Linked DNA regions of Daphnia pulex. The protein of the gene in region 1 binds, or shares a complex with, the protein of each later gene. Links are inferred from orthologs where the notes say so. Each region holds a gene or a part of one and is shown in the gene's direction. Other genes may lie near its edges.

What was found.
Region 2: the proteins of rab5 GDP/GTP exchange factor-like (region 1) and ras-related protein Rab-21-like are in contact, whole or in part, in a crystal structure (PDB 2OT3), measured with the Homo sapiens proteins. The link is inferred for Daphnia pulex from reciprocal best matches to the Homo sapiens genes RABGEF1 and RAB21. Residues at the interface, in NP_001273991.1 of Homo sapiens: Leu253, Cys254, Lys296, Phe299, Asn300, Lys303, Pro309, Ala310, Ser311, Ala312, Asp313, Phe315, Leu316, Pro317, Ile320, Leu347, Met348, Thr349, Gly350, Glu351, Gly353, Tyr354, Tyr355, Thr357, Asn358, Cys360, Cys361, Ala364, Phe365, Ser373; in NP_055814.1 of Homo sapiens: Ser19, Phe20, Lys21, Gly26, Glu27, Gly28, Lys32, Thr33, Leu37, Thr50, Thr51, Leu52, Gln53, Ala54, Ser55, Phe56, Ala71, Trp73, Asp74, Thr75, Ala76, Gly77, Gln78, Arg80, Phe81, Leu84, Ile87, Tyr88, Asp91.

What each region holds. Positions count from the first base shown.
Region 1 is NC_060026.1:15,791,869-15,807,637, reverse strand, and holds the start of rab5 GDP/GTP exchange factor-like, read left to right. Parts: upstream 1-5,550; 5' UTR 5,551-9,875; intron 9,876-14,474; exon of another isoform or gene 14,475-14,807; 5' UTR 14,808-14,859; intron 14,860-14,869; exon of another isoform or gene 14,870-15,007; intron 15,008-15,068; exon of another isoform or gene 15,069-15,071; 5' UTR 15,072-15,072; coding exon 15,073-15,284; intron 15,285-15,347; coding exon 15,348-15,769. UniProt on the Homo sapiens protein: Rab effector protein acting as linker between gamma-adaptin, RAB4A or RAB5A. Involved in endocytic membrane fusion and membrane trafficking of recycling endosomes. Stimulates nucleotide exchange on RAB5A. Can act as a ubiquitin ligase.
Region 2 is NC_060020.1:1,405,177-1,420,037, reverse strand, and holds ras-related protein Rab-21-like, read left to right. Parts: upstream 1-8,839; 5' UTR 8,840-8,935; coding exon 8,936-9,023; intron 9,024-9,081; coding exon 9,082-9,134; intron 9,135-9,202; coding exon 9,203-9,272; intron 9,273-9,354; coding exon 9,355-9,452; intron 9,453-9,519; coding exon 9,520-9,638; intron 9,639-9,711; coding exon 9,712-9,922; 3' UTR 9,923-10,242; downstream 10,243-14,861. Other genes in the region: ribonucleoprotein PTB-binding 1-like, read left to right, coding at 3,315-3,645, 3,818-4,065, 4,264-4,446, 4,523-4,616, 4,792-6,170; GDP-fucose transporter 1-like, read right to left, coding at 7,259-7,755, 7,826-7,912, 7,984-8,122, 8,187-8,394, 8,453-8,583; SIN3-HDAC complex-associated factor-like, read left to right, coding at 11,827-11,900, 12,190-12,343, 12,411-12,667, 12,728-13,034; uncharacterized protein LOC124192199, read right to left, coding at 13,534-13,866, 13,930-14,142, 14,218-14,390, 14,451-14,550, 14,624-14,861. UniProt on the Homo sapiens protein: The small GTPases Rab are key regulators of intracellular membrane trafficking, from the formation of transport vesicles to their fusion with membranes.

The sequences.
Region 1 (15,769 bases):
TTTACTGGGGGTCACGCTTCACTTTTGTGTGTTACACAGTTGGCACAAAAGCCACTATCATCTTTTTTTGATTTTGTGTGTGTGGGGTGTGTAAGAAATAATGGAAATGCGGCAGGGGCAAGTGTGTGTGTGTGTTGTGAGGTCGGCCGATGGATAAGATAAAACACACACACACAGAGGACGACGACGACGACGACACTGTTATCTGCATTGCGGCGTTGTCGTCTGCGAGAAAGAAAAGGCGTACAGACAGATACACAAACACGGGCAAGGAAGTTGTGCCGGGGGGGAGAGGAAAACAACAGCAACTTAAAGACACAAAAAAGTTTTTTAATTGATTTTTTTTCTTAAATTCAATTGGATCGACGGGGTGGAAATAAATGCGATTTTTTTTGGCTGGCCAATCCCCCCCTACCATTTTTTTTGCACGTCGAAATAATAATATCACTTACAAATTTCACATCACGAACCTTTTTATCTTTAAAAATTCTTTTTATCTTTAAAACAAATTTCATCATCTTTTATCCTTTTTCTCTTCTTATCTCAAAAATTGTTGCTGATGATTTTAGTCATTGTTTAGTCTTGGAGTCTTTATATGGAGTCCTCCCCCACATTTCTAGAAAAGATATAGATTCCCCCACCCCCAATCTCCCAACCCCCCAAAAACGAACTGTGACAATTTTTTTCTGCCAACACAAAAAAAAAGAAAATTTGAAAATGAGGAAAAAAAATTTAATTCTATAATCAATACATTTTGATTTGTCTAAAAAAAAATAAAAATCCCAAAATTTTTGTAATTATTAACTGGTTTTAAAAAATAAGAGGCGGGAATTTCGATTGTAATGCACAGCGAACAACTGATGCGATTCCGGGCGCCAATAAAATGTTGGAAACATCTGGACGCCTTTTTGACAAGTCAAATTTCCCTCCACCAAAAACCAAAAAACAAAAACAAAAGAGACGCCAGAGAGGAACGACCGTGAAATTTTTGCATAAGTATAAAAATCATTTCCCGCTACTCAGAACAGCAGACACATCCCAACCAGTTTTTCTATTTTTCTTGAATAATTATTTTTGTGTTTTGTGTCTGTCGTGTCTGTTTTATTTGATAGAGAACAGGTTTTATTGTTTTTTTACTCGAATTTGTTGAATAACACTGACCCCCCTCCCTGTACAGTTTTTAGAGCTGTCGGGGGGTAAAAAATAGTTGTTGATAGAACAACGAAATCTAATTGCAATCTAGTCTGCGAATGCTTTAACACTCTTTTTTTGATACATCTTTCACCCCTGATTCCTCCAAGATATAATAATAATGGCGAGGTGTTAGTTGTGTTTCTCCCTCGATCGATTTGCCTCTAGAAGGCGCTTGTTGTTGTTGTTGTCGTCTTGTTGTTGTTGCGTGACGTCTAGAAATCATCACCGTCCGAGTGATCTAACAACTTGCTACCAACTTTTTAACACACCCACCAAGAAAAACTCTTTTTCTTTTTCATTTGGCTTATTTTTTGGATGATGATGATTGGACCACCCACCCACCCTTCACTCTCAACTCCCTTTTCTCTTTCCGTGTCTGGGCGGTTGTTGGCGCGTGTGTTGTTGTGCAGGAAGTGCGGAAGGGCCTTCCGTTTCCCCATTTCTTTTCCTCTTCTTTATTATTATGATTTTTTTTCGGGGGCCTCTCTGCTGCTCCTGCTGCTCCTTTTTGTAGAAAATGTAGACCAAATGGACTGTGTCGAATGAGAAACGGGGATGGGGGGATTTATTTATTTCATCTCTGGAGAGTCAAACATTTTCGAGCACTTGGCGATTTGAATTTGATGGAAAAAAGATTTTCCGATGATCCCCGAATAGAAGAAGAAAAAAGTTGGGCCAATACTTTTTTCTTCTTTCTTTGCCTCAGTTCGATTTCCGATGCGGCTCGTGTTGACACGTACACAAGGAGCCAGGAGCCGCCGCCTCTGTGTGCTTTGCCTCCTTACATTTATATATATACTCTCCCCCCCATAGAAATGTGTTTAATCGATACGTACAGTCGAGAGTCAAAGGTGGGGGTGTGTGGGAGAGAAGGAAGCAGGATATAGGGGGGTGGTGGGGTGGCCAAGAAAGTTCCCCACCCAACTCTCCATCCCCAACCCTGACACGTCAATAATATTTGATCCACTGCCGGTCTATCTCTCTATAGTTTCTCTTTCACTTTAATTTCACACCAAAAACTAATTTTTCCATTCCAAAAAATGTGCTAAACTTACTTAACATTCGGCTGTGCCACTCTTATTAGTCCTATTACAATTAGTTTCGATCCTGATTGACGACATTTGGATGTGTCTGTGTGTATGTCTGTCTGTGTCCGGTTTGTGTCTTTTTCTAGTGATGGTTTGTGTGGAATGGATAGGTGATTGTGGCATCTAGCGAGAGATGAGGAAGCACGAGCTGAATTTTTATTTTTATTTTATGTTGTTATTAGTTGTGTTGTTTGTTTTGTTTTTGTTTGGTTTGGTTTAGTTTTGTTTAGTTTGATTCCTTCTTATTATGATTTGAATTTTTGATTTTTGTTTTCTTTTTGCATCAAAGGTTATCCAAGTTATGGATACTTTCCGGCCGCCGCTGCCGGAGCTGGTGGTCCAGCTAATGGAATGGCCGGCGGCGGAGGCGTCGGCGGTCCTGGAGGTGGTGGTGGCGGAGGAGGTGGTGGCGGAGGCGGTGGCGGTGGCGCAGGCGGAAGCAACACTAGCGGAGGCCTCGGCGGAGGCGAAGTTTCTGTGTCGCAGCACCGCAATGGTCCAGCCAGTGCCGGCCAGCCGACGGGAGCCGGCGGAGCCACGTATTACGATTACACGGGCGCTCACGGGCACCACAACGGCGGCGTCGGGGCCGGTCCGGCCGCCTTCCATCCGCGCGGCCACCACCACCACCTCGACCACCAGCACAATCCTCATCAGGCCGCTAACATGGGCAATTCGCCTTTACTCCGCGACGCCTACACAGGCCGTTCAGGTCAGCCCCTCATTCATCTACGTCGTCAGTCGTCGTCACCCGCCAAATTCAAAAAATTCAAAAATTCAAAAACTAAAAAATTCCCGGGGAGATGAGACAATGGCCGTCGATTGATCCGCTCCTGTCCATGCGAGTGGGAGGGTGGGGGGATGATTTTCCAGTCATCATCAGAGTTTCGATTCACGCTCTCCATTGTTCTTCTTCTTCTTCTTCATCTTCTATTCCCATCCAGAAAAGAAGAAGAGACGAGAAGAGTTCGTGATTTATCAGCTGAATCTTTCTCACGATCCTCTTTTGGATTTTTGCTTCACGACTAAAAGTTTTCCCTCCGAGTTTCTTTCTTTTTTGTTTTGTCTTGGAAGGGGATCCATCACACAACTTTTCTTCTTCTTCTCCCCTTTTTTCTTCTGAGAGATGGATGCGGAATCAAGTCCTCTCCTTTTATGTGCAACATTAAGGATCTATGAAGTGGATGGATGGATGGATGAAGTGTGGTGAAAGACGTGCTGCTGCTTTGCTTTTTTTCTTTTCTTTTCTTCTTTCGTGCTTGAAGCTGCTCTTGTGTTTTATTTTTTCCTCTCGGCGTCCGATGGCGGATGGGGCCCCCGCCATGGTCTTGTCTTGTTCCGCCCGACGCGCCACTTCACCACCGCACCGTCCCATTTTCTTAATTTCTCCTTTTGGCACGTTCTTCTTCTTCTTTCCACTTAAGCGGGCAATCGAATTTTCTCTCATCCCAAGTCGTTTGATTTCATCTTACTTTTTTGTTTCTTTCGATTCTTTGCTTGTCATCGAGTTTGTTGTTTGGCTGGGAAATAGTTTTCGAGTCTAGTCGTTTCTGCGCTATTTATTAACAAAAGAGTCGAGTGGTTGGTTGGTTGGTTGGTTGATGGGGGGGATGCGCATTGATTTATCGTTTGTTTCTTCCTCTTTTAAAAATTACATGTCGCGTGTGTGTGTGTCGGCAATGTAACAAACGTCCATTTATATTTATTCCCCTATCCTCTACCCGGTCGAGAATATATATCCTACTCCTGAGGAGAGTGAACATGACGACGAGGGGGATCTCTGTTTAACACGCGGATCGATTATCTATCGATACCGTTGGGGGGCGTGGCCTATTGGGTAGGACTAGCGGCGCTGATGCCATTCATCATTTTCTCCCTCTTTTGGCGATGGCTGGCGCTGGATATGTTTCAATTACGCTGGGCCAGAAATCGCTTCGTCATGTCGATAGAGAGCTCTTAAATAATTTTTAAATGTCGATTAAGTCTGAACTATTTAGACAAATAATTTGTTTAATTTTTATTTCAGTTTATTTATTTTTCTAAATTGATTTGTGAATTTAATTTGTTTTATTTTGGGTGAATTACAGCGATGATTAGCAGTTACCCGCAGAGTTACGTCCAGCAGTCGCAAGTGGGCGGCCGCTCTTTCCCGCCTTCGCTGGCCGCTGGACTCGGCGGCCACGGTCACGGCGGCCATCACAACCCCAACGCTTCGCCAGGACCGGCCGGCGACGGCGGACTTTACGACGGATCGCTGCCCGGATACACGGCGGCGGCCGTTGCAGCCGCCGCTGCAGCCGCCGGATCACATCAGACGGCCCTCGCCAGGGTGAGTCCCACTATAAAACCCCAAAAAACATTTTTTCTGTCCCGAATTTCCCAAGGTTTTGGATGGATGGACATTGCCGGGCGGGATCGATCCAGTCGACAGAGAGAACAAAAGGGGCGACGTGGGTGGATGAGGGGGTCGGTTGAATAGTCTTTTGCCTGATCAGCACACACACACGCACGCAGGGGTAAAGGATAGGGGGGAGGTGGATGGCTGTGCGGATTGGTTCACGCTCGAGCGGCTCGAAAGTCGAGCGGATGGAAGGAGAAAAGGGGAAGGAAGAAATGATATGTGTGCAAGGCATCCAGGAAGAGAAAAAAAAGGGAAGGACGATGGATCGAATGACGGAATGGATTATCGCTAATCAAATCGGACTCGGCTCACGGGCTAAAAAGAAATTCTGAATAGATATCGCCCCTCCTTCTCTTCTCTCTGGGCCGTCTATTATGTAGCCAAAGGCACTGGACCTTTTTTCCTTCCTTCTCTTCCAGTCGGATGACTAGTTTCTTTTTATTTTTATCTCTTTTGTCCTTTCTATTCCTTCGTTCTTTCGCCTCTATATCGTTTTCGGGTCATTGATCCGGTCAAGCTTCTTCTTCTTCTTCCGCCAACGTCGCCGACGTCGTATAATCTCTAAAGCTGGCCAGGATCCGTCCCCCCTATCTTCGTTTTTGTTTGGGAGACTAAAAAAAAGGTTTTTTTATTTTTTGGGTTTTGTTTGAGCGCACAGGGGGCTGGTCGATTTCTTCTCGATCATCGATCGTTGATTGTTTCTCTCACTCAATTGTGTTTAGTCGATGTTTTTAAAGTTGATGCTGCAAGGCGAGAGACGCTGGACATTTAATTTATTCTCCCTTTTTTAATTGGAGTTGTTGTCAAATTCATTCACGCAGGGTACCCTGATTCCGACCCACTACACCAACGGCTACCATTAACAACAAAGACGATGAACGGCCAGGAGAATCGCCCCGGATGACGGCCGGACAAGAGATTGCGTCACAAATAAAAAGATAAAGAAATGGGATTCGTCTGAGGAAGCGAAAGAAGGAAGAAGAAATTGCAGACACAACTTTCAACAAAAATTACAAAACGAAAAAGGAAATTTAAAAAATAAGGTCGGAAAAAACATTTTTTTTTGTTACACCCCCTCCGTTTATTTGCCAATGTTATAACCCTCCTCACCAGAAAGCCACACACACACACACATATACCATTTTTTGATTATTTTTCTAATCTTATCTGAAACTTGTGGATAAGACGGAAAGGATAACAAGCGATCTCTCCAATTTCCCTTGTTAACTCTCGAATTAATTTTTTCGCTATTTTGACAAATATCCTCCTCCTCCGCAAATGACACGGTAGTTTCTCTCCTTCTTCTTGACTTTTTCCTCTTCGTAGTCGTAGCGAAAAAAACAAACAAAAAAATGGTAGAGGCGAAATTGAAAAAACATTTTTTTGAAATTATTTTTTTCGAATTTGGCGCGCAGCTCGTAGTCGATGACGGTAGACAAACTTACACAACTTAATCTTTACGTAGTCTTTATTTAGATAATACCCACCCCCTACCCCCTGAAAAACATTTATTATTGGACATTTTTTTTTCGACTATTTACCGAAAAAAGGGAGGGAATTTATTTCGTGTAAAAATTTGATCCATACTCAATTATCGACAACAACAAAAAAAGAGGAAAAGAAAAATCCCAAAAAAATTATCTATTTGGAATTTTTTGGGGCCTCTTTGACAATGGCCATATTATATAATATTTGCTGCTCCCACAAATTTAAACTGAACTAAAAAAAAAAATCCCATCGTGTTCGTGTGTGTATGTGTGTGTCATTTACCTGTTCAATTTCTCTGATCGTGTGTTGATTTTCCCTCTCCAATCTTTTTTTTGGATTATTTCCCAAATTGTTTCTGTTATATTCCCCCCCGCCCAATTTGTATCACGTAATCAGATGTTTTCTTTATTCCTTTTTCGGCCTTGATCCCAAAATATTCTCCAATTGAATCGCTCCGATAGACTCGGCCGATTCGAATGAATAATCCACACACACACACACAACACAGCCAAAAAAAAATTGCGAAAGAAAAGAATCAGAAGAAAAAAACGGCAGCTAAAATCAATAAATCGAGTAATAATAATAATTAAAATTTAGCTGGAACGACAAAAGGTGTGGTTTTCCCTCCCCCAAAAATTTTAGTAAAATTTTTTTTTTTTTTTTTTAATTTGTTTCGGTAGTGCCAATTTTTTTGTCAAAAAACTCAGCCGATCATTTTTGTTTGAAAATTCCTTCCTCTTGTAAACAAAATGAAATTCTCTTGGCGGCGACGACGACGACGAGACGGAAAGAAAGAAGAAAAATGTTGTTTTTTCAGGTGTGTCACAAAGGTCACGTGACGTTTACTACCGACTGTGATAGGCGGAACCAACGCCTTCTCTCTAGTAAAAACTAGCAGCTAGAGTTGAGTAAAAACAGTAATAGTAGTCTACGAGGTTTTGTTTGCTCTTATTTTATCCGCCTTCCGCCTTTTTCTCCGTCACCTCCTGGTGGGGTTCCAACAAAAATGAAAAGATTTTTACTCCTCAACTCGTTTGTTTCAATCAAAACTAAACGGATATACAACGACACACGCGCATTTTTTTACGTTTCAACTTTTTGTAGGAGGGACGGACGGTGGCGGGAAATTTGAAAAATGGAAGCGGAAATAAAGGGAAAGAAAACCCGTGGAAGTAAAAAGCAGAGAAACTTTTTTAAAAACTTACACAGAAATTAACCAGAAATAAATAACTTTTTTTTTTTTCGTTTTTTGGCTCCTCCCGAGAGATCAAACAGGAAAAAAAAAAATTTAAAAATGTTTTTAGCCAAAAAATCGATTTTAAAATAAATAAAAAGACCCAACCGAGAAAAATGTTAATGAAATCTTTTTTTGAGAGCCCGTTAGGATGTTGTTGGTAGCCGTTTCTCGCTGTAGAGCAGAGTAGTAGACACAGAGGACACAGAGAATTTTACGAAAACAAAACAAAAAAAAATCATTTTTTTATTCAACCCAATTTTTGTGTTTTTATCTCCCCCACCACCAAATTCATTTACAGCCTGAACAAAAAAAAAAGTTTAAAATTTTTTCGATGACTCGCGCCAAACACAAAAAATTTAAATCATCTCTCAGCAATTCATTTGATATGAATTTTTGATACATTTTATTCATTTGGGGTGAGAACTTAATTATTCAGCGCAGAGAGAGAGAGAGGGAAATTAAGAAAGAGAGTTTTTAAAGTGAATTACGAGCTATGCAAAATAACAAAATTTTTATTTCGAGATTACAAAAAAGTTTAGTTTTTTAGTCTTTTAATTATTTTTCGGGGGAATATGTGGCGTCGATATCAAAAGATTCTTTTTTTTTTTAAATTGTTATCCCCCACACCGCCTTTTTTTTATTTTTGAAATTTTTCATCAGGAAATTTGAAATTTTTTTTCGCGCCATTTTATCAATTTCAATTTTTTAAAAAATCGTCGATCTCGTCAAGAAGACACGCGTGTGTGTGAATGAGTTAACACTAAAAAAAAGGGAATTATATTTTTTGGATTATTTTCTTCCCCTCTCTCTCCACTCTTCTCACTCTCTCTCTCTCTCACGCTCTTTCGTTAGATGAACCTTTGCGTTTAGTGTGGCCGCATCAAGTCAAATGAAAAATAAAATAAAAAAATTAAATCACCGATTAATGACACAGGAAAAATGAATATCGATTGGATGAAAATATACGAATTTTAAAACGATGAAACACACATAACCAATCAAATACCCCTCGGCCCTTTTTTCTTCATATTCTGACATTTTCATTTGCCAAATTGTGTTTTTTTTCGACTTTTAAATTTAATTTGTTTCAAAGGGTGGAAGGGTTTTTGATTCTTTTATGTGTGCGTCGAGACGATTTTTTTTTTATAAATTGATTACAAAAAAAAAGTAGTTGGAAATTTGCGGCCGGTAGCTATTCTCCTCCTCCAAATGTGTTTTCTTTTTAATTTACCTTTCTTCAATGGCAATAATGCATTCAATTTGATGACATAACCATTCTGTTTTTCTCTTTCTCCTCCCATTATCATTATCTCTCTCTCTCCCCCCAAAACGGTTGAAAATTGTTGATCAATTGTTTCTCGTGTTGAAATTTTTTCGCCCATTTTGCCACTTTTCAATATTTTCCACCTCCTCCTCCCATATCTCTCCCCCCTTTCAAAATTGTTTTATTGTGTCTCTTTCAAATGGAGCCGCCAAGGTGTGGGAGGGGGTGGGGCTCATTTGCATGAATTCTTGCCCTACATAATAATAATATGCCACCACCAACTGACACGACAACTACAACAAAACACACAATCTCCTGAACCGAATCGCGAAAAAAAAAATAATACGAAAAAAACTCCCACCCCCTCCCCTTTTCCCCCACCCCCTGTATAACCTCAGGATTTTTCATCCCAAAACATTTTTAATTTGACAAAATGTTTGTGTGCGTTTGTTTGTTTGTTTGTTTTTGTGAGTGTGTGTGTGTGTGTGTGTTTCACATTTGTTAAAAAACACGATTTGATGATGATGATGATGATGACATAACATTTGTTTGGGTGTATCTTTATTACCACCCACCTCTCTCCCCTCCCTCAGCCCCCAACGATTTTTCAAGATGCAAAAAATTAAAAAAAAAAAAAAAAATTAATTTTCATTTTTTCAGTTTGCCAAAAAAAAAATGTTTTTGAAATTTACAAAAAATTTGAATTTTTTTTTTCTTTGAACCTTTTGCCTTTTTCCTCCCACATTTTTTTGTTTTTCTGTTTGGTGGTCAAATTAATTTTTTTTTTCTGTTTCCTCCTCCCTTCCTCCTCCATGCCGTTTGTTGAAAATGAATGGGCAATAAAATTGACAGCAATAAGCACCTTTTGTTTTTGTCCACCATTTCTTTCTAGACGTTTAGTGTCGTCACAACACAGGGTCCGACACCTCTTTTTAACTTTTCATAATTCATCGAGTGGAACAGTTTTTGTTTCGTGATTTTTCCAGGGGTGTTTACACGTGTGTGGGTGACAAGTTTCGGATGTGCTTAGAACGTTTGATGGTGGGGGTGAATAAGTAAGTCGATTCCCGTGGGATTTATTTACGACCGTGCTCTCCCGGTGGACAACTTTCTGGTTTTTATTGTATTTTGTGTCGGTAAGTTAAAAGACCGGAACCCCGAATAAACCTGCCGATAAATCTGTACCGGGAAACCGTGCAACGTGTAAGTATCTTTTTATATCTATTAAATTCTTAATCATTTCCAATAATAATTGAGTGAGCTGTGTGTCAACTCTATATTTATCTATGACGCAATCTATATCCTAGAAAACATGAATATTTCGTTCTATAAAAGAGAGAGAAAAAAGATTCTTTTGTCGACTATATCTGTGCAACTTCCGGATCAGTGGAGCGTGTAAGACCACACAACTGTGCGTTCACTATACTTTTATCTCTTTACATACATACATATCCAACATTTCCATTTGTATACTAGACAGTCTAGTATATCCAGCAGCTCTTTCTTGTCGATTGAACAACTTTTCTTCTTCTTTTTTTCTTCTGTACATTTGTTAATCTCCCCAGCAGGTACATGTATAAATAAAATCGAATGTAAAGAGTTGAACAAGTTTTGAGGGGGAAAAACGAGTCTATTGTGCGCTGCGCAATGATGAACCGATAGAAAAATGTTCAAGTTGAAGTCGAGTCTCGGGGTTAAAAAGAAGATAAGGTCAGGTTGGATCGAGTCCAAAAAGTGCTGCGAGTGGGGGAAGAAGAAGAAGAATGGGCATCAAAAGACAGACAACCTCCTCCTCCCTCTTCAAGTTCCATCCACCCACATCCAGCAGGAGGAGGAGGATCCCCCATAAAGACTCGATTCTTTTCTATCGGTTCTGTGCTGCTGATGTCAGCACAGGGGCCATTCTCTTTTCTAGTCGATGGCCAACTTCTTTTTTCTCCCCCCAAACAGATAGACGTCTATACACTTAATGTAGTACCCCCTGGCACAGTAGGACGATCCTGTGTTCCTTTGACTCTTGGCTGCATGATGATGTGGATTTATCGATGGGATGTGTGTAGTGCACAAAAACCCTTGGGCGAGGTGCCAATCGCTCAGTGTGCCACCCTCCTACTCTCTTCTACCAGTTAACCACACAGACTCCCTCGACACTCGTTGTAAAAGTTAAAGCGATCCCACTGCTGCTGCTGCTGGTTAGAAACCTAATGAAGGCAGATTGGCTTTGCCTAATATCATGGGGGGAAGGAGGAATTGAATATCATCGGCGGATGTGGCAGCTGGCCTGCAAATCCTGATGAATTCAGTTATATAGTCAACGAGCAGAGAGAGGGTTGTCTATCAATGGGCGTATAGAATTGATCCCTCCTGTTTGCTGTCTATAATCAAACTCCCCCCTTCTAGTCAGATAAGGCGGTTGCCCACATGAGCAGAAATAATCTCAATTTAGGGATTCAATTTCAGTTTTTTTTATTGTTATTCAATTACAAGTTGTGACTTTCTTTTTTCCGGCTGATGGACGAATCGACAAAAACCGGCCCGGGGGGTTGAAATCAATCAAACCCGTGACGACGGAAACATTTTTACCATAGAAGGCCTTAAAAGAAGAAGAAAGAGCTGATCGATGTGTGTCTTGATTCGATTATACACAGACAGAGCGACTGCTGGAGCTGCTGGATCGATTGCAGGAAAATCAGAATCCGATCCTGAACCCCTTTGAGTATTGTTACATTTAAAATTGGTATAGTATGTATACCAGTGTATCGTGCATTAGAGTATATTGAGTGGGAGAGAGTAGCTGGCAGGACAATGGATGCTGGATGTGTGTAGTGATGTGTCAGCGATTGACGGTCGTTGATCATCTCGGATGTGTGTACAGGGAGGGGTGGGGGATCGGTGATTTTTACACCACCAGGAGGGATTGTCTGTCAGTCTCTTCCGCTAATGAAAACAAATGAGGCGAAAAGATGTTTTGGCTCAAAGAGTCCCCCCTCTCCACTTTTTGTTGTTGTTGTTGTCCGCTTCCGGATGGATGTGTGTAAAAACAAACATCTGAGACGGTGAATGATCCGTCATATACGAAGGAGTTGTACACTATACCGGAAACATGATTATACCACGAAATGAATCAAAGTTTTCTACACACGTAACACAAAAATCGGAGGCGAAATAGATATCCATCCAGCGGCCGGATGGCGAGAGAGAGAGCCAAAATAGAAAATGAGTGATAAGGATGGCGATAGTTTGACACATTGAAGTGTGTGTGCAGGAGAAGAAGGAAGGGGATGTTATTTTTCTTGAAGGGGAAAAACATTCCCGACCTTTTAAAAAGAAGAAGGGCGGAATGCCACCACATTTAAAAAAGAATGCACGCCGAGGGGCTGCTGCTGCTGCTGTTTCGTTCCACTTGTGTGTTGCAAGGTGGAATAACAAGATGTATAGTTACTAGATTTATTTATAAAACACACACAAGTCCAGGTCCGCTTCCCCCCAACCCAAAACGTGCCAGAGACCAACCCGACCGCAGCCCAGCAGCTTTGACGTACAGTAAGGAAGAAAAACCGAAAAAATGTTTTGACAGAATATCGTTCAGGCTCATTTTCCACTTTTTCTTGAATTTTTGATTTGACGATATTATATAGTACGAGTTTAAGTGACATCAAACTAAACACACAATCATCTATCCATGGCCCTTGTGCTCTTATTCTCCCACTCATTCCATCCATCAATTTCGTCTTGTGGGTTTTTACACTTTTTTGGCTCGTCCACTTGTCCAATAACTCCGCCCACCGTTCCGCTTACGCACGCAAAAACAACAACTCTTGACGTCTTTTGTTGATTTGCCAATTTTCTTTTTCGTTTTAATTTAACACAACTTCAATTATAGATTTTTGCTATTTTATAGGCCTCCTATTTTTAATAGTTTTACCATTTTTATTTGGACAATAAAAATTTGATACTAAAGAGCGGGCGGGACTGTTTCCCGACCGATATCATACTTAAAAGTTATTCTTTGAAAAAAAAAAGAAGAAAATGATTTTCGATCCATCCGGATGCTTGTGTGTGTGTGCGGGTGCTGCAAGTGAAGGATGATGGCGTTAGGGGTTCGCCCTCTTTTCACTATAAAAAGAGAAGCCGATAGGGGGGAAAAGAGAGAGAAAGATCATAACATGTCGGCTCCACATAACATCCAGCAGCTCATAATTCTTCCGCAGCCGCTGCTACCGTCGGTCCCTCTCTAAGTGGGGGGTGTTTACTCCCATCTGCGCGATACTCCCTCCCTCCCATCCATCGGCCATTTGTATATGATATACAATAAATATATTCGTCAGACTATTTTATAGTATAGGTTGATGTCATCAAATCCAATGTGATACAATTTTTTTCTTGGGGGGTATACCTTTTTTTTTTGTCTCGGCGGATGAGTGCCTCCGGGGCAATAAACAAAACACAATCGAACTAGAGGGGGAACACAACCAACCAACAATCTTGTGTGACGATGTCTGTGTATAGTTTCTTGGACGACAGCCATTTTGGCAGCAGCTAGACCCATTGCGTTTCCGTCCACTGCTGTTCTCATCACATCGTAATCAAATGTTATTTAACGAACATCTTTTATTATTAGCGACTTATTGATTTCTTCCATCATGTCAGTCAGATCGATCATTCCGGCGTATAAATGCAAATAGTATCAGAATAAAAATCGTCGTCATAGATTTATTCTTTTCAAATTTTCGCGGGCTAAAAGAAATAGTTGCCGGAGGGGGGAGGAGGATTACTGTTATGGATGATGATGTCGTTTTCAATCGGCGATCATCATCCGCCATGCAAATGATCGGTTCCCCCCAGATCCGAAAGGAATAAAAAAAAAAAGAAAAAGTTTTATAGTCGCTGGTTGAGGCTGAAAAAGAAAATGGGGGAAAAACCATCAATTCACGTTTGCCGGACGATTGGCCACGACGAAAAGAGAAGCTCAGTACCGAACGAACGCAACGACTTTTCTTTAATGGAACGAAGCCCCCAGGCCGTTCTCACACTGGAAAATAAAAGTTGCCTCGTAAACTTTGGTGCAACATTCAATTCAGACTTGGAAAGATGTAGACATTTTTCTCTATCGAAATGGAAGATGGCATTAAATTATACCTGATAGTCCAGGGCTATATGTGTGTGTGTAGTGCAATCATCTGGGGCGGGATCTTCGCTGGGCACAGCACTAAGCATTCTTCATCCACTTTACGGTAATTTCCTTTTTTTCTATTTCGAGAGAGAGAAAAAGGGATTCCTGACGGATTAATGAGGAAGCAAATCATGTCTCTGCCGAGGAGGTTACATAGGCGCAGCTCTAGACGTCATAGAGAAAGAAGCTATGAGATGTGGCAGTTGACAGTGGAATGGCATCCGGACGACTTGGCATATCCTCAAACCAGCAGCAGAGCTCCTTTCTCTCTCGACCTCGTGTTTTCCTGTCGAGCATAGTATACGAACGAAAATTCCACTTCTGATTTATAATAATTGATTCATTCTTTGGGGTTGGTAGGAGGGTTTTAAAAGAAACCAGAAAATTGTATTTTTGAAAACAGGAAAAACCTGGAAAGCATCATGCACACAATATACTCGAAATTGTGAGAAAATAAACTCTTTCCAGACGCGCTAGTAGAATAACCTTAACCAACTCGTGAAATAGCAAACTGATTCGACGCACGTGATGGTTCAGGGGGAATATCTTTACACAGCGGAATGCTCGCTGCATGTCAAATAAAACAACCAAAATTAGACACAAACTTTTCCTTTCCGGGTAGAACCGGTAGCACCAAAAACAATATGGAAGTAAAGAAGCCACACATTTTCTTTCGATATTACATTGTCTGGTTGTGGCGACCAATTTTTTCACATAAATCAACCAACATTTTGTGCGATTTCAATATCTGCTTTTTTTAATAAATTATATATCGACTACGGCAACATTTTTGACAAGACTAATTGGAATGGGGATTTCTGGGTGAAAAAACGACGCCATCTCATTCCGTCGCTCGGCTTGTTTTGAACAACTTCCAGATCTTTTTTCCTTACCCTTCTGTTGTGTGTCTGTTTTGACCGTGTTTATGAATAATAAAATTCCCGAGACTTTTTTTTTTACAGAGTTAACGAGCTAATACAAACCGAGCTAGGAGAAACGAGCGACGCGTTACGGGTGAGTAGATGCTTCAAAATTAAAACCAGAAAAAAGACTAATTTTTTGGTCCCCCCTTTTATGTTACTCTCCTTTCTGTATTAAAAACGTCAACATACTCTCATGCTTGCATAATTTTCGTCCTTCTTTATTAGTCACAGACAACAAAGTATGTGATTTCAGACTTGATTTTTTGCTTTGGATAATAACGTCATTATTTCCGTCTCAAGTAGAATGGAGTCGGGAGGGAGTCGCTCGTCTCGTTCAGGACATGGCCCTAAACTTCACATTCCTCAGTCTGATTTAATATGTAAAACTGGTTGTGGGTTTTTTGGGAATATCGCGTGGCAAGGCTACTGCTCAAAGTGCTACAAAGAGTATTTCCTGCAAAGGCAGCAGCATCAGGCGGCTTTTGTCCCCTCACCGTCAAGTTCTCTTGGGCGCAAGTATGTTGTCGAACCAATTTAAAATTCTTTTCCGGGATGTAACAGCATTTTTGTCAATTGCAGAGTTGAGAGATCGCAGAGTGATGCAAGCACATTCTTCAACAAACCAGAGAGCCATTCTTCGACACTTCCCCGCCATGGATTTTCCAGGTTTGAAGAGAAAAAGAGGCATAATCAAGAGATGAGGACAACAGCCGTCAAGTCACTCTTCAGGAAGACACCCACCAAGGGTTTGGGGAGCCCGAAATCAAAAGACAAGAGAGCCCTCAGTCCGGAATCCCATTCAGCCATTATAGAATTGGATCAATTTCTGCAAACACTACCACAAAACGCTGCCCATCACGCCTACAGTTTCTTGAGAATGCAAGCCCAAAAACTGGACGGTCTAGTATCATCTGGGGTCCTCACTCCTTTGGAGATATCTGACAGGGTTCACAACATTTATCAAGTCTTTGACGAAAAGCTGAAAACTCATTCAGGTTTCT
Region 2 (14,861 bases), on another chromosome or scaffold:
CCATCTCAAGGAGAGAAAAAAGCTTCGAAAAAATAACATCGAAATGAGGATTTCAAATGCGAAACCACACGATCAGTTTCTTCTTTCTTTTTTTTTCTGCTCGAATTTTTTCTTTATTTTTTTCGCTGTTGTTGTTGATGTTGTTGGAGTGGGTGGGGTTGATCCCTTCGTGAGAAGACGTTAATCCCGTGCGTGACGGGAATGCGCCGTCCGGTCGACAGCGGCAAAAGGCAACATGGAAACAAGTAGAGCTCGAATGAAAGAGATAAAAATAATAATAAGAAGAAGAATTGGCGGTGGCGGCAGCAGCTCGTATATTTATTTATTTTTTGATTTCGTCCGGCTGCCCTTTGTGTAGTTAATATGTTGCCCTCGAGAAATGTTTGTCTTTTTTTTATATAAATGTGTGCGAGGCCGGACTACTCGCATCATCCGGTTTATTCAACACACAAACAAACCAAACTAGATTTAGAGGAGAGCTGCGACGCCAAGATCAACATTTTTGCTCGTCTCTTTTATCAACATCAACTTGATAAAAAATTTGGAATTTTTCGTATCTTTCTTCTTCTGTTCAAAATCTCGTTCCCGGCCAGTCCACAATTCACACGCACTGCGGCACACTATTATAAGGTTGGGTATGATATTTCATCCTGGCAATGTCGTCACACAAGGAAATGTGATCTTCTTTTTCTTTTCCTTCTATTTTGTACATGTTTCTCCTTCTTCTTCTTTTGGTTGTCGTATTTTCTGTGAATGAGAGCGAGTCTACCCCCCCTTTCTTCTCGTGTTTGTTTTCGTCACTCACCTTTGGTCGAGTTGCACACTCGACAGACTATCAGGGGGAGAAAAGGATCTTGTTTTATTATTCTTCTCTACTTTTTAAGGGCCTGATCTTTTCAGGTACGTGTTACTCGTCTGATTTTATTTTCTTTTCGTATGGTTCTTAACCAGTTTTTTTCCCATTTGATATGTTTGCGCATGCACGTTCTCCCCGTCCCTTTTTTTCCCATTTTTTGGGCTGTTTCATTTCCTTGGAGATGATGATAATGACTCTCGAGGGAAGTCAGCGCCATGTACGTCCTAACGTTGCCCCGAAGTTTACAGATGCGTGAAGAGCACCATTCCACAGAGTGGCAGTACACTAGTGAGAGTGTCAACTTTGGAATTGATTCTCTCCGAATGTACTACTGCTGTTCTGTCTGTCTGTTTGTTGTATGTGTGTGTGTGTGTTGGGGGATCGATGAGAGCTCATCCGCCCGCATCCATCTTTTACCCTTTTGGGCGTGTTGTTTACCAAATTCTTTGGATCGATTCAAAAGTTGTTTCTTTTGCCTGAAAGGAAACAGCCTCGCAAGCGATACTAGTTGTTGGAAAGTCTTTCTTTTTCCTGTACGCATTTCCATGTTGAATGATCACCACCCAGTTGATCAGCTTGCTTGTCACGCGCCAACGGGGACGTCCCCCCCCCACTCTTTCGAGTTTGATGTCGACCGTCTTTTTTCTTGGGCCTGCCGACGCCAGCTGACACTCTTTCCGAAGAAAACTTTTCTCTAGCTCCCACATCAAAATTGGCATATTTATTCCCCCACTTTTTCTTAAGAGATGCTCTGTTACACGTCATATCCTTGTGTATTATTAACATGCCGAGGGTTATCGATCGCGTCTCATTTCCACCGTGACATCACGACGTCCACAGGTGGGGATGCAAGGGAACACATCCCACGCTTTGAAGGCAAATATGTTTGTAACCGTATCTCTCTCTCTCTGCGTGTAGAGGGGATAGAAGAATGGAAGACAAGAAGGTGAAGAAGACATTTTGTCTCTGAGCCGTTCATTGGCGGGGAGAGACGGAACCGAGGGGGGTCACGTATTTATTATATACGGTCGGGTATTATCCGCCGACACACACGTAAGACTCTGCGGCCGTCCCTCGGGCGAGCTGGCCCGTCAAGTTCCGTTACTTTTTCGTCTTGATTCCTTCTTTTTCCCCTCTGTCGAGAGGTCGTTCAACCGAGCCGCCACCATGACCGTAAGAGAACCAAGGGGGAACTGGTGGATAGAATAAAAAAGAACGTGTATGTAAATAATTTTTATTCAAGTTTTTTAAGATCTCCCGATAACCATAAAAACTTGGTCAATGTTAACCCAAAAGGAGGAGCAAGACAACACACAACAAAAAAGTGAGTCTGTTGTACACAGACAAAGCCGTAGGTGGAGTCTAGCAGCTCGGACGGAATTCCCGACCCCGCATCTCTTGCAAAATGTTTTTTTAAAAGAAAAATAACTTTGGGAGGTCAGGTCCGTTCAATCACCCCAGAAAAATTTAGTTTTTTTCTTTTTCTTCTTCAAGACTTGTTATTGACACACACACCCACACACGTAGATCAAGAGACAAGTTGGTTACATGTTTATTCGAAACCAAATAGAGATAAACACATTTCTCGTTTCTTATTCAGGCAGAGTTCATTGTTTTCCCCCCATTTGTGTGCAGCACGTCCTTTGAGGAAGGAAGGAAAAGAAGAAAAAAACATCATTAGTATAATTAATATGGAATAGTTGACCTACTTGTTGTGACTGTCGTCATTATTTGAGTCACTCGACGTTGATAAAGTGAACACAACTCGGCGGAGCAACTTTTTTCTGTATGGGGGGAGAAAGAAAAAAAGAAAAAATCAATATCTCATTTATTTCGTTCACGAAAAGAGTTCAACAAAGTTAATTGGTTTAGACGTTTCCTTGGCTGCCCAATTATTGCCATGTTATGCCGCCCCGTTTTTCGGCTCTGTCACACAACCCATCAATACCTTTTTTTTCTGTTGTTGTTGTTGTTGTCTTGTTCTCTCAACTTTTCGTCTGCTCGTAAAATTTCTTTGAACAAAAAGTTCACTTTGTGGAGAGAATTTTTATGAACTCGTGTGTCGGAACCCGTTAGCCACGGCCGGCAGATCCTTTTTAGGGCCTTTTTTTTTCAAAAACATTCCAGAGAGAGAGAGGGAAGGCCATATAGACGTCCAGAATATATACTATATGATGTACGCCCCCTTTGTTGTTGTTGCTTAGTTTGTGTCGAAAACTAAAAATAATCTGTGCCTTTTCCCCTCTTTTCCCCCCATCACCTCGTTCCGGTCCACCATAACTTCCTGGTCTCTCTTGCATTTAAAAAAGTCGGAAAACAATTGGAATGCATACGCATTGAGCTCTGGGTTCCATTTTGTCACGCACTCCCCCCCAACAATACTTATGAAAAAAATAATAACTAAAAGAGAAAAAATGACATGTGTTTCTTTTTTATTTTTTTGTTTAAAATAAAACAGGAAATCAGAGACATGCTGAACGCCCGAGGACTGAAATCTTCCAGCGTGACGTTATCACCGTGCGGATCGGGTCCCAACTGGGCGAGAGCAGCGCCTGTGAACGCCGAAAGTCAGCCAGATTTTTGGGAAGAATGGAAACAATTGTGCATCCGTGACAAACTGGACGCTTGCACAATCCGAGGGCACAAGATCTCGCTGAGCCCATCACCGACTGAAAACCTGCTCTGCGTTGCCCGGCTGCCACGCGATCTCCTCGACGACGAGTTCAAAGAGCTCGTCTCTTCGTATGGTCCAGTTCGCCGTTGCTTCCTACTCTACAGCGACAAAACCGGTTCGCATTTCTTTCTTCATCCCTTCCAGTTGAAATTTATATTTTCTTTTGATGCAATGAAAAAAAGATAATCTAAAATTTTAAAAAAGTGTACAGTTAGTTTTTCAATTGACTTGACACACATCTAATCTTTTTTTTTCTTTCTTAAAATTCTCCTTGATGGGGATGACAGGCGAGAGCAAAGGCTACGGATTTGTTGAATATCAAAGCAAAGATTGCGGCCAGCGCGCCCGAGCCCAGCTCGATGGAAGAATCTACGAGGGTCAGGCATTGGCTTGCGATTGGCTCGACACTTCAATCGTCACCCTCGCCGGTCTCCACTCCAAGTTGCTCTACGTCGACTGCCTCCCGGGCGGATTCCGAGACATGAGCCAATTTAGGACGCTCTTTTCTCAAGTGGCCAATCCACCATACTGCCAGGTACTACTACTAAGACGTTATTTCTAATATACTAACTTTACCCAGCCGCTCAGCTGCAGCAGCAGCTGCTACTTGTGCTTTGCAGGCTGCATCTGACAGACGACAGATGATGGATATTCTCTAATATTTCTCTCTCTCTCCCCAAAAGACCTCCATGGCGCGCTTGTACATTTATTTTCGAATATTATTTATTTATAGATTGCGCTGAAAGGTGGAGCTCCTCAAGATTGGGGTCTGGTTGAATTCTCGCAAGCCCAGGAAGCCGAGGATACACTCCGAGTCCTGGACGGAAAACTCTTTCATAACTCACCCATCAGGGTGGCTTTCTTTATACCCGGTGTTAGGGCCATCAACATTTACATGAAGCTTCTGAACGACACGGTATTTGATTTGATTTATTTTTTTCTGGCTATACATTTTAATCATTTTGTTTTTCTCTCTTTCGACGTTTCATCAGTGTCAGAATAAAGGCAGAGCTGCTCTGTTACCCGAACCACCAAGCGATACCGTCTTCCATCAATTGCAAAACCTGACCAAACAGAACCCTGCATGTAAGTAGACGTACGCGCAGTGAAAAGTGAAAAAAGAGAGAGGAAACACTATTATAGCGATATACAATAGTTTCGATCCATCGATTTTTCTCTTTTCCCCTCTCTACTCCTAGCAGCGAATGGTAATCTCCATTTTATTGAATTTATTTTTTTTTTCTCTCTTCCCATTGTGTAGTTGTTCACAGTCTGCAGAATATCATCCTAACGCAAATACAACATCTCAACAACCCGGCAAACAGTACGAGCTCAGGCAATTCTAGCAACACTTCGGGGGCGGCGCTAACTGGGGCCCAGAGGGCTCAGTCTGGCCACCACCAGCAATCCGGCCAGCACCACCACCACCAACAGCAGCAGCAAGCTAGCAATGCTTCGCTAGCAGCCAGTGCCCAGGCGGCCCTGTCGATGCTCTTGGCCGCCCAGCAGACCACGCAACCGAGTCCGGCCGGTAGCTGCAGTAGCAGTGGTAGCAGTGGTTCTCTTAGTCACGTTAGTCCTCCTCCACAACAACAGCAGCAGCAGCAGCAAGGGCCAAATTCTTGTTCCCAACCGCCACCAGCTGCTGCTGGTAATAGCCGGATGATTCCATCGCAGTATGGAAACAGTTATCGACCAGCAACTTCTACCACCCAAGCTCAGCAGCAGCAGCAGCAGCAGCAACAACATCAACAGCAGCAGCAGACATTCCCATGCGGATTGATGGAAGCTCCGCCGTTGAATATCAACGTACCGCCGCCACCTTTTCTTTATCATCGACCACCAGAACCCACTCGACCTCTACCTCCGCCGCCTCCGCCACCTCCCCCTATGCAGATGCAGGAACCTGCGGCTGTCAACAACCTGCAGCAAACACTGTCGGCCCTCCTGGGAACGCTCAGCACGGCTGTCCAGTCTCTCTCGCCCAACTCTAGTGCACCTCCTTTGACTCAACAACAAACGGCGGCTGGAGCCTTGCTCGGTCTTCTCCTTCAAATGGTTCAACAGCCCAACAATTCTCCCCCACAGCAACAACAACAACAACAACCGTCGCCGCTGGCTCCGCTGAGCCTGACGACCCTGAATCACGACACGAACGCTTCGTATGGGAATCTCGGCGGTCTGCTGACGACAGCGCCTCCCGGTGGCCCTTATGCCAACTACCTCCCACCTCCGTCACTCAACCACAGCCCATCATCGTCTTCTTGTCAGTCGTCGCTGTCGTCGACATCTTCCCTGGGCGCTTCCACGAATGTCGGTACCTGGAACCACATTCTGGGGCAAGTTCGCTCTCTAGGAAGTGGCGGTCCCAGTTCGTTGGGTTCAGCCGGTTCCAGGGGCTCATCTCCGACTTCGTCGTCCAGTCCCAGCACAAGCCCAGCTCGTGGAACAGCTATTTGCGTGGGCAACAACAACAATTTCGCAACGCCCATTCAGCAGCAGGGCACCAAACGGAAATACAGTAACCACGTCTTACCATCGCCTGAGCCTTCTCCGGAAGCCGGATATATCGGCCAGCACTCGCAAGGCCTTGGCGGACACTATGCTGACTCTTATTTTAAGAGGAAGAAGCGAAACTGAAAAGTTTTGTCCCTTCTATAAACACACAACTTGTTTTAAAAATACCAACCGTATTGGTGACAATTTATTTGGCATTTTTAAATCTCCATTTTAATGATCTTCAATTCGAACCCTCTCTTTTAAATGTTTTAACGTTATTATTTTACGTGCGCCATTTTTTGATTTTTTTTTTTTAATCTAAGACGGGGCCTTATAAAACCTTGTGTGAACATAGTGATTGTAAAAGAGAAAAAAAAAATCGGCTCTATTCATGTGTAAGAGGTAATTAATCGAGGCCCTTTTAATCCAGACGGCAGCTCTACCCGATTTCAATTTTAAATTATTTTTAAAAACTGAAAAAGCAAAAGAAATAAACGAGCAGCTGAGGCGGTGTATTTGTAATTACCTTGCCAATCCCTCCCCCCCGTTACTTATATATATAACTCCATCTATTGGTGGCTTATCCCGAATATGTCTTGCGTTTTTACTTGTCAAACATTTTTTTCCTTCAAAACTTTTGAATCGCCCGACTTTTGGTTTCCTCCACTTATTGTGTTCCCCCTCCCCCCTCCAATTTGCATTTTAATTTAAGTTAATTAAACACTTATTGTTGACTCCCAGGATCCTCCAAACAAGGCTTTCATGTACGTGAAACTATTCTTCCGTGTCTCTGTCAGGCTTTTTTTTTTTTGAAATTCAATTGAAATTCAAATTTCTTAACTTCATTTTCAATGGCTTTATTCAACTGTTGAAAAACAAATTGTCTCTTTCTCTCCGATGCGCGTGTGCGCTCGAAAATTGAATCTTCTTTTCCCACACATATCTGCACACGAAATAAAGCGTAATCGTCGGTCATTTTACCCTCATGTAAAACTGGAAATACAGAAAAAAGAATAAAACAAAACCAAACAAATATCTTAGAATGTTTCAAAAAATCATTTGTAATTATCATTAATTAATGAGCATCTCCTAGACGTGTGTTTTCTTTTTGATTGGGACGGAGAACGTCAACATTGAAAAAAAAAATATGCAATAGGCTAATAGTGTCATAATTGGAAGGAAAATAATAATAAGCTCATTAACAAGTAACTTCCAAAATAGAAAATGTATTAAGATGCAATCACTTTAGCTTTGTGATTCTTCTCCATCTCTTGCTGGCGGACCCTGGTGTAGGCGGCGCTGCCGAAGAGTACCACCCAATTGGATATCCACCAAAGGAAAGGTTTAACTTCGCTGTACCAGTAGGTGGCCAGCACCGTCTGTGCGCAAGCTTTGGCTGTACCGGAGATGTTGTGTGTGAGAGGTGAGGTCACTTGAATCTGGAGACCAGTAACGTAGCCGATGGCAAAACCAAAAACACCTCCAGCTACCATCATGGACCAGAACGTGAGGTTGCCATAGCCTTGGAAAGATATCAACGTCGGTAATTCCCCATTGAGCAGCATCAACGGCAAAAAGAGGAGACAGGCATTCAAATTGTTGTAATAACCCAGCAACCAAATGCTTTGATCCACGAATGGCAACACTTTTTTTGTGTAAATGGAATTGAGCGACACGAAGAGAGAGGCTAGCACCCCGTAGATAGTCCCCGAAATCGATAGAGATCCTGCATAATAAAATGATTTAGCCAAGTTTTCAAGTTTTAAAAGGGAAATTCCAACAGTTCATTGACCCACCGGCTACGCCCTCTTGGTCGACACCGAGCCAAAAACCTCCGACAATAATGGCACAACAGACAAGGGCACTAAAAGATGTCCTTTCGCCTATAACGCAAAAGAAATAAAAAAATTTTACTTTTAGATTTTAAACAACCGACGACAGGAGTTGATCTCACCCAATAAAACCCATGTCATCAAAACATTGAATACTGTGGTGAGGGATCTCCCAATGTAGTAGAATGCTACACCAACATATTTCAGGCACAAGTTGTTAAAGGAAATCATGGCCACAAACACCAAAGATAATGGAAGAACCTGAATATGAACAAGAGATCAAATAAATGCCACAAAGAGACAAGAGTCTGACAGCAATGAATACCTTGAGCATAATTTGTACGTCCAAACCAAGTTCTGGAAATTTACCCAAACTAGGGAAAAATTTGGCTCCACATGCTAGGAAAACACATAGACCAACTGTAACGACACATTGAAACCATGTGACAAACAAAGGAGCGTCAACTGTGGTTCCATTTGTACTTCCGCTCAGCAAGGCCTTGTTAATGAACACCAATGATATAGACACGGCCCTAGAAAATTAAGAAAAATTAAGCCCTGACAGTTCCCGATTCATAAAATTAATCTTACCAATATGCTGAGACAACTGCAAATATTTTCAGGTATTTCTTTAAAAGGGATTCTTCAGCTGTAGCTTTTTCCATCTTTCTCTTGAAACTAGGAGAACTGATTGTTAAAGACGAGTGCTGACGTGGATACATCAAAAACGGAACGAACTTGTGTCCAACCCTTTACCAGCCCAGTTTTAGATACTACTAGGCTTTTTAGGGATTTTCCTGGGAAATTCGAAGGAATGACAGCAGTCGTTAAGTTCACAGAGAATAATGGTTGTCTTTATGTTTTTGTGTACATGTGGCAAACATCTGTGCATAATGGGCTGAGTTCCGACCCATTGTTTTGAACCGATTGCAGATGACGCTGTTGCTCCTTTTACGTAATAAAATCTCCCTTTGGTAGATGGCGCGGTCAACGGATAGCAGACCACTTTCTGTAATTAATCGTGATTGAGCAAGGAAATCCTGTTACCAGCTAATTTCATGAAAGGTTTTAAATATGTCGAGTAACTTTCGTTCAAACCTTGGTCAATTACATTTTAAAATTGTACTTCTCGGTGAAGGTTGCGTCGGCAAAACTTCTCTTGGTAAGTTTAAAATTGATATTTTGAATGACATTTTGCGAGGACTAATTTGAATGACTAGTCCTCAGATATGTCGAAGATAAGTTTCACGAAAAACATTTCTCAACAATTCAAGTAAGTTATTTCATAAAATTTGATGTTTTTCAAATGACAATGAAACATTAATTGGATTCAATTCAAAGGCCTCCTTCTTGACTAAAAAAATTAACCTGGAAGGACAAAGAGTGACTCTGGCCATTTGGGATACAGCTGGTAAATACAGATGACATCTTATCAATCAAATGTAGTCTAGAAAATTTCTTCAACACTTGTGATTGTTTGTTTGTTTATTAAGGTCAAGAAAGATTTCATGCATTGGGACCCATCTACTACAGAGATTCTCATGCTGCCATCCTTGTTTATGACATCACTGACCAAGATTCCTTTGTAAAGGTAGTATAGTCAAATATTATTTCAAATGAAGAGTGTGTATGCAATGCAATTGTTTTCTCATTGAAAGGTTCAAAACTGGGTTAAAGAACTGAGAAGGATTCTAGGAGACAAAGTAGTTTTGGCAATTGTTGGAAACAAAATAGACTTGGATAAGGAAAGAAATGTTCCAGCAGAAGAAGCCTTAGAGTAAGATACATGTCATATTCAATCATCAGTTTACTTAATCAACATTTCCAACCCCTTTGCCTATACAAAAAAGGTATTCCAAATCGGTTGGTGCTACACATTACCAGACTTCGGCCAAGACGAATCGAGGCATTGAGGAATTATTCTTGGACGTAACTCAGCAGCTTTTGAGGATGGCAGAGAGTCAGAATGAACTCAATAGTTCCACAAACTTGACTAGTAATCGCAATCCAGAAGTGGTTATTGTTGACGATAGTCTCGCCCCCAAAAAATCTTGTTGCTAGTATCGTTTTATTCCTCTATCTCTCACACACACACGCTTCTACTTATTATTAAATGAACGTTTCCTTGTTATAATTCTTTTTTTCCGTTTCACCCCTCAAGTTAATTGTAAAAAAACTAGAGTTTCGGAAAAATGTTCTCTAGAGTCATGGTGATTGTGGTGTCGCATTATCCGTGTCAAGAAAATTGTTGGCGAATGAGCAATCAGGTCGTTATATAGTCACTCTTGTGACGGGATTTCTTTTTTCTTTTGTAATTATCTGATGGAATGTTGTATTATTTTTAAAAAATGAAAACCTCAAATACAGATACAATAACAGTTCGCTCTCTGTATAACGCACTCTTAAACTAAGAATAACTTTTGCCTTCCTTTTTTGTTGTTTTGTTTACAGGGCCAAGGTTGTCCGAAAGGTGAATGAACGATCCCTCCGCCCGTCATTATTACTACGGCCCAGGAAGACCAGATCGTCCCTTCGTTTCATTTGGTAAGGGTTTCAAGACCGAAGCGAAACCGGTCTTGGGCTGTTTTCTCTTTTTAGAAATATTGTGGTGTGTGTGTGTGTATATTTTCGTTCGTTCTTCTTCTCCCCTCCCTCTTGGTCGAGCAAAGGTTCAGCCCCTAAAGCTAAACACATAGCTACGCCAGTCATGCGGGAACTAATCGCTAGATGGCATTGTTTTGGCATCTGGCGTTTCGCGGTTTGTTTGCAAAATAGAGAAAAATTGGCGGCGATTTGAACGCGGCTCAAGCACTTCCGCACGTGCTTCTTTCAATTGCCGCTGATTATTCTTCTGTTAATTTCATAGAAATTAAACGATATTGAGTCGAGTAACCTCAATGGCCGCCTCTCTGGCACTCCCAACAACCTCCCCTTCCTCCCCCTGTGAACGGAGGAGAGATAGCGTCGAGGGTATGCAGCTCCTCCCTCCCTCCCCTTCCTACTATTATAACAACCCGGAGAACCTTCTCTCTCTCTCTCTCTCCCTCCATATGTAGGGTTCTTTTTAGGCCATTTCGGCCTTGGGTAGAGCTGTGTACTAGCAGGAGCAGGAGCTCAGGGGTTGTTCAACCCTGCTCACGTAACTCAGTCACCAAACAAACTTCCACGCATTCACTCGTCGTGTGCCATCTCTCGAACTGGTTTAAGGGACCTTATCTTTAACAGGTAAGATTTTACAATCATCTAAAAATAGTTTTTCATTGATCGTCCTTCAATTCGGTTATGGCTTGTTTTAAAACTGCATCGTTTCCCCCACCAAAAAATTCAGTAACTAAGGAAGTAGAGGGTTGACATGGCTTTCGTCCGACACGCTTCGGAGAAACCTACCCTACGGGATGGGAAAAATCAAGAGTCTATCAAAATATAAAATATGGCGACTGAAAATGGGTCGTGGTTAGTTACGTTCATCATTTTTGTTTTGGGGTAGTAGAAAAGAGAGACAATGAAAGAAATTCGGATGAAAACAAGGAAGTGGTCCGTATGTGTAGGCCCAATGAAAAATAAAAGTCGTCATGAGACCGAGCTGTTGGAGTGAGAGACTTTGTGTGTGGTGTACTGTGTGTGTGCTGTGCACGCACTTTGTCCCAACGTTCAATCTCATTATTATGTATTTTCTCCCTCCCCTCCTAGGGACAATGTCTCCCCCCTCTACTAGCGCATGTTAAAATGGTGAAACAACTTTTTATTTTCTTTTTTAACTTTCCCCAAATTTTTGTTCAGGCGTTCCGGAAGCGAGAGATGCACTACAGAACCCAGCAGTTTCGAACCCGAAACTATTCGACTTTTAGAATTTATTTTTAGGAAGGAATTTCGTTACAAGGCTGGAGTCTTCGGAGACTGTCGACAACAATTTGTCGAACAAGAAACCCAGTCATCATCCAATTCGACCGCGGAAAAATAAGAAAATGTTCAGTTTTCACAAACCAAAAATCTACCGTTCGGGGACGGGCTGCTGCATTTGCCGTGCAAAATCCAGCAGGTGAATATTGATCGCGCAATTTTGATTTCATTTTGTGTATCGCGGACCCGATCAAGTTGATTGGTGGCTACGTCCGTTGTGAAAGGGAGAGAAGAAGAAGAAGCGAACCAGCAGCTATGATCGATAAAAACACCCCTTCACTCCGCCCCTTTTTGGGGAAGAGAAGCGGAGGGGATGGTTACGGTTCGTGACCCGAATTCGACTGGAACGCACTCTAGCGGACAAAACCGAATTTGAGTTGCATCTATTTTGAAAAAAATAAAAATGTTTATTTCTTCAAATCCAACAGTTCCAGGTTTACCGATTCTGGGAAATATCAGCCGTATTTCGAAGCTTGTTTTCACCTGGAAGAGGAACGCTCGGGTGACATTTGTAACGCTTGCGTCTTACTTGTTAAACGCTTTCGCAAGCTCCCGACCGGATTGCTGCGGCACTGGGGCCATGTCAGTTTGATCAAATTAAAAAAATGCATTAAGAAATTTTACATTCATTGGATATTCAATGTTGCAGGTAGTCGATGCCCGGGCCAATACCAAAGTCCGTCCTAAAATATCTATAGTGCAAAAGGCTAACCAGCCTGAAGATGAAGAGGAAGGAGGTGTTGACGACGGCGATGATGATGACGACATAAAATTAGTCTCCAAAGTAATTCGCAAGAAACGTCGAGAAAAACGAGAAGAAAAACACTGGAATCGCACTCGCAGTAAAATAATAACCAAAATAGAAAACCAGATGCCTAGTTTTCTCGACCCTCAGTTGTGGCACAGGTGAGTTTCGCTTGAATTGATTTTAAGACAAGAATTAATTTTGTAATAATGATTTTACAGAGAAACTGTTTGTTGCGGAACCATTTTCCGTGGCCCGATGAACGCCATCGTGATCGACACAAATAATTTTCGACCGTGTTTGGCTCGTCGGTCAAGTCGTGAAGAATCAATCAGTTCATCTTCGCCCAGCGGAGGAGCCAGTCCTTCTAGTAGCGATTCGCCTGTTGCCTCGTCGTCACAAATCCATTACAAGGTGGACACCGACAAGGGGAGTGGATGCGATTCAGAACCAGAAACGGCAGAGTTTGACCAGCCGTTTGAGAGCCAAAACGGCCATTCCAAAATGGCAGTACCGGCCGCATTTTAGTAACAATTTAAATTTTTAAATTTAGGCGCGCTTCCTCCTTCCGCGACGCGAAAAAAAACCCAAACCTGAATTTTTTAATCCAAAATGAACAATAGACCCCAATTTCTTTGACGGGCCATTCCTTCTTTTACAAAAAGAAAAAAAGGAATTCGGCTTTTAATAGTTCAATTTCGTTACAAAAACAAAAAATGCCCAAAACCCATCCCAGTGTTCATCTAGTATCGTGTGGTTGGTCTTTTTTCTCTCTCCCAAAGAGAACAAACACAAATTAGTTCAAATGTTTAAATTTAATAATTAACACTTTACGTCTCACGTACTTTACAAAATAAGACAAACAAAAATAAATAAAAAAAAATGGCTCTGTGCGCGTCACTGTACTCTGTGCAGCTTAATTAATCAATAGTCGTGGTTGTGTGTTTTCTACAACGTTTGTTAATGCAATGCTGCAATAAACGAACAAGTATCGTACCAAAATTCGCTTCTATTTATTACTGTAATTTCAAGAACGTTTCAATCTTTTCAGAATGTTCATTTGTACGGAAGAGTCATTTAACCGGACTAAAAGAGGGTCTTCAGGTACTTTTTCTTCAATTTGTGAAGGGAACTTCCAGCTATCCATCTTTTCCAATTCATCGGGAAGGCGGTGCAAGCGAGCACGGATCTTGTACGCTTCGTGATGATTGGCCGAAATTTTCTTTACTTTATCGCCAGCCGGACGGAACAAAACACACGGATGGTGGTAGGCGTAATAGGATCGTAAGTTGGCCAACGTCTCCTCAGTCAAAAAGACTACTTTTACTTCACGCATAATCACGTAATCGTTCACAAAAATCTGTAAAGAATTATTAAGTAATTAATTCGAATTGAATTGGACAAAATTTAGTAACGGGACTACGTTTTGTGTTTTGATTGTTTTCCAGTGTTCGGGTTCAAAAATGGCGAGTCCTAAGAACCCGAAAGAAGGTTTTCTCTCATTTGGGTCGGTGTTAATTTGCTCGATCTCTGGTTCAGACTGATTAGCCGTGGGTTGCTTTTGGAGTGTAAAAATAGTGCCGTCTCGAACGCACAAAAAATTTAAATCTGAAGAGTCATCCGATATACTGACTACCTAGAAAAAATACAATTTTGACATTGATAATTTTCTTTCAAAAAAAAAGAATCCATCCAGGTTTGAATGATATACTTGGCAATACAAGTCGCAGATGAGTTCATCAGATAATTCCCTAAAAGTACGAATGCCTGGATATCTGGAAAGAAGATGATAAATTGGATGTGGCGTGACATAGTCGAAAAACCGATGGTTTAACGTCCACCAGTGGCTCAAAACGCGAACAACGGCTGCTCGGTCATCAAAATCTAGAACGAGATACACGACATTATTAATTAAATACTTGAATGATAGAGCTCAGATATTACTTTCGCGGAGAACAGGTGCTTTACTATCAGGATGACAATAGACGGTGACATCTGTTTTGTTGAAGACCCGTCCATCACAACGATTTTTATGAGTCTCTATCTGTGGTGAAATCATTGCAAGATAAAAATAACATTCAACCTAGCTTAAATGCAATTTAATATAAATACCTTACCTTGACATTGGTAAATCGAACGACATCACCTCGATGGAATTCTGGATGATCTTCTAATGTATTGAAGAATAGGGACATTTTGAACTCACCAGGGGCTTTATCCTCTTCTTCTTCATCACCAGATGCAATCATGATGAGAGATGGGTCTGAAATGCAAATTAGAGAATGCCAGGAGCTTGTTGTCTTTGTTGGAAGTTTATTCACAGCTGTGACAACACCAAAAATCTGCAACCGGCTG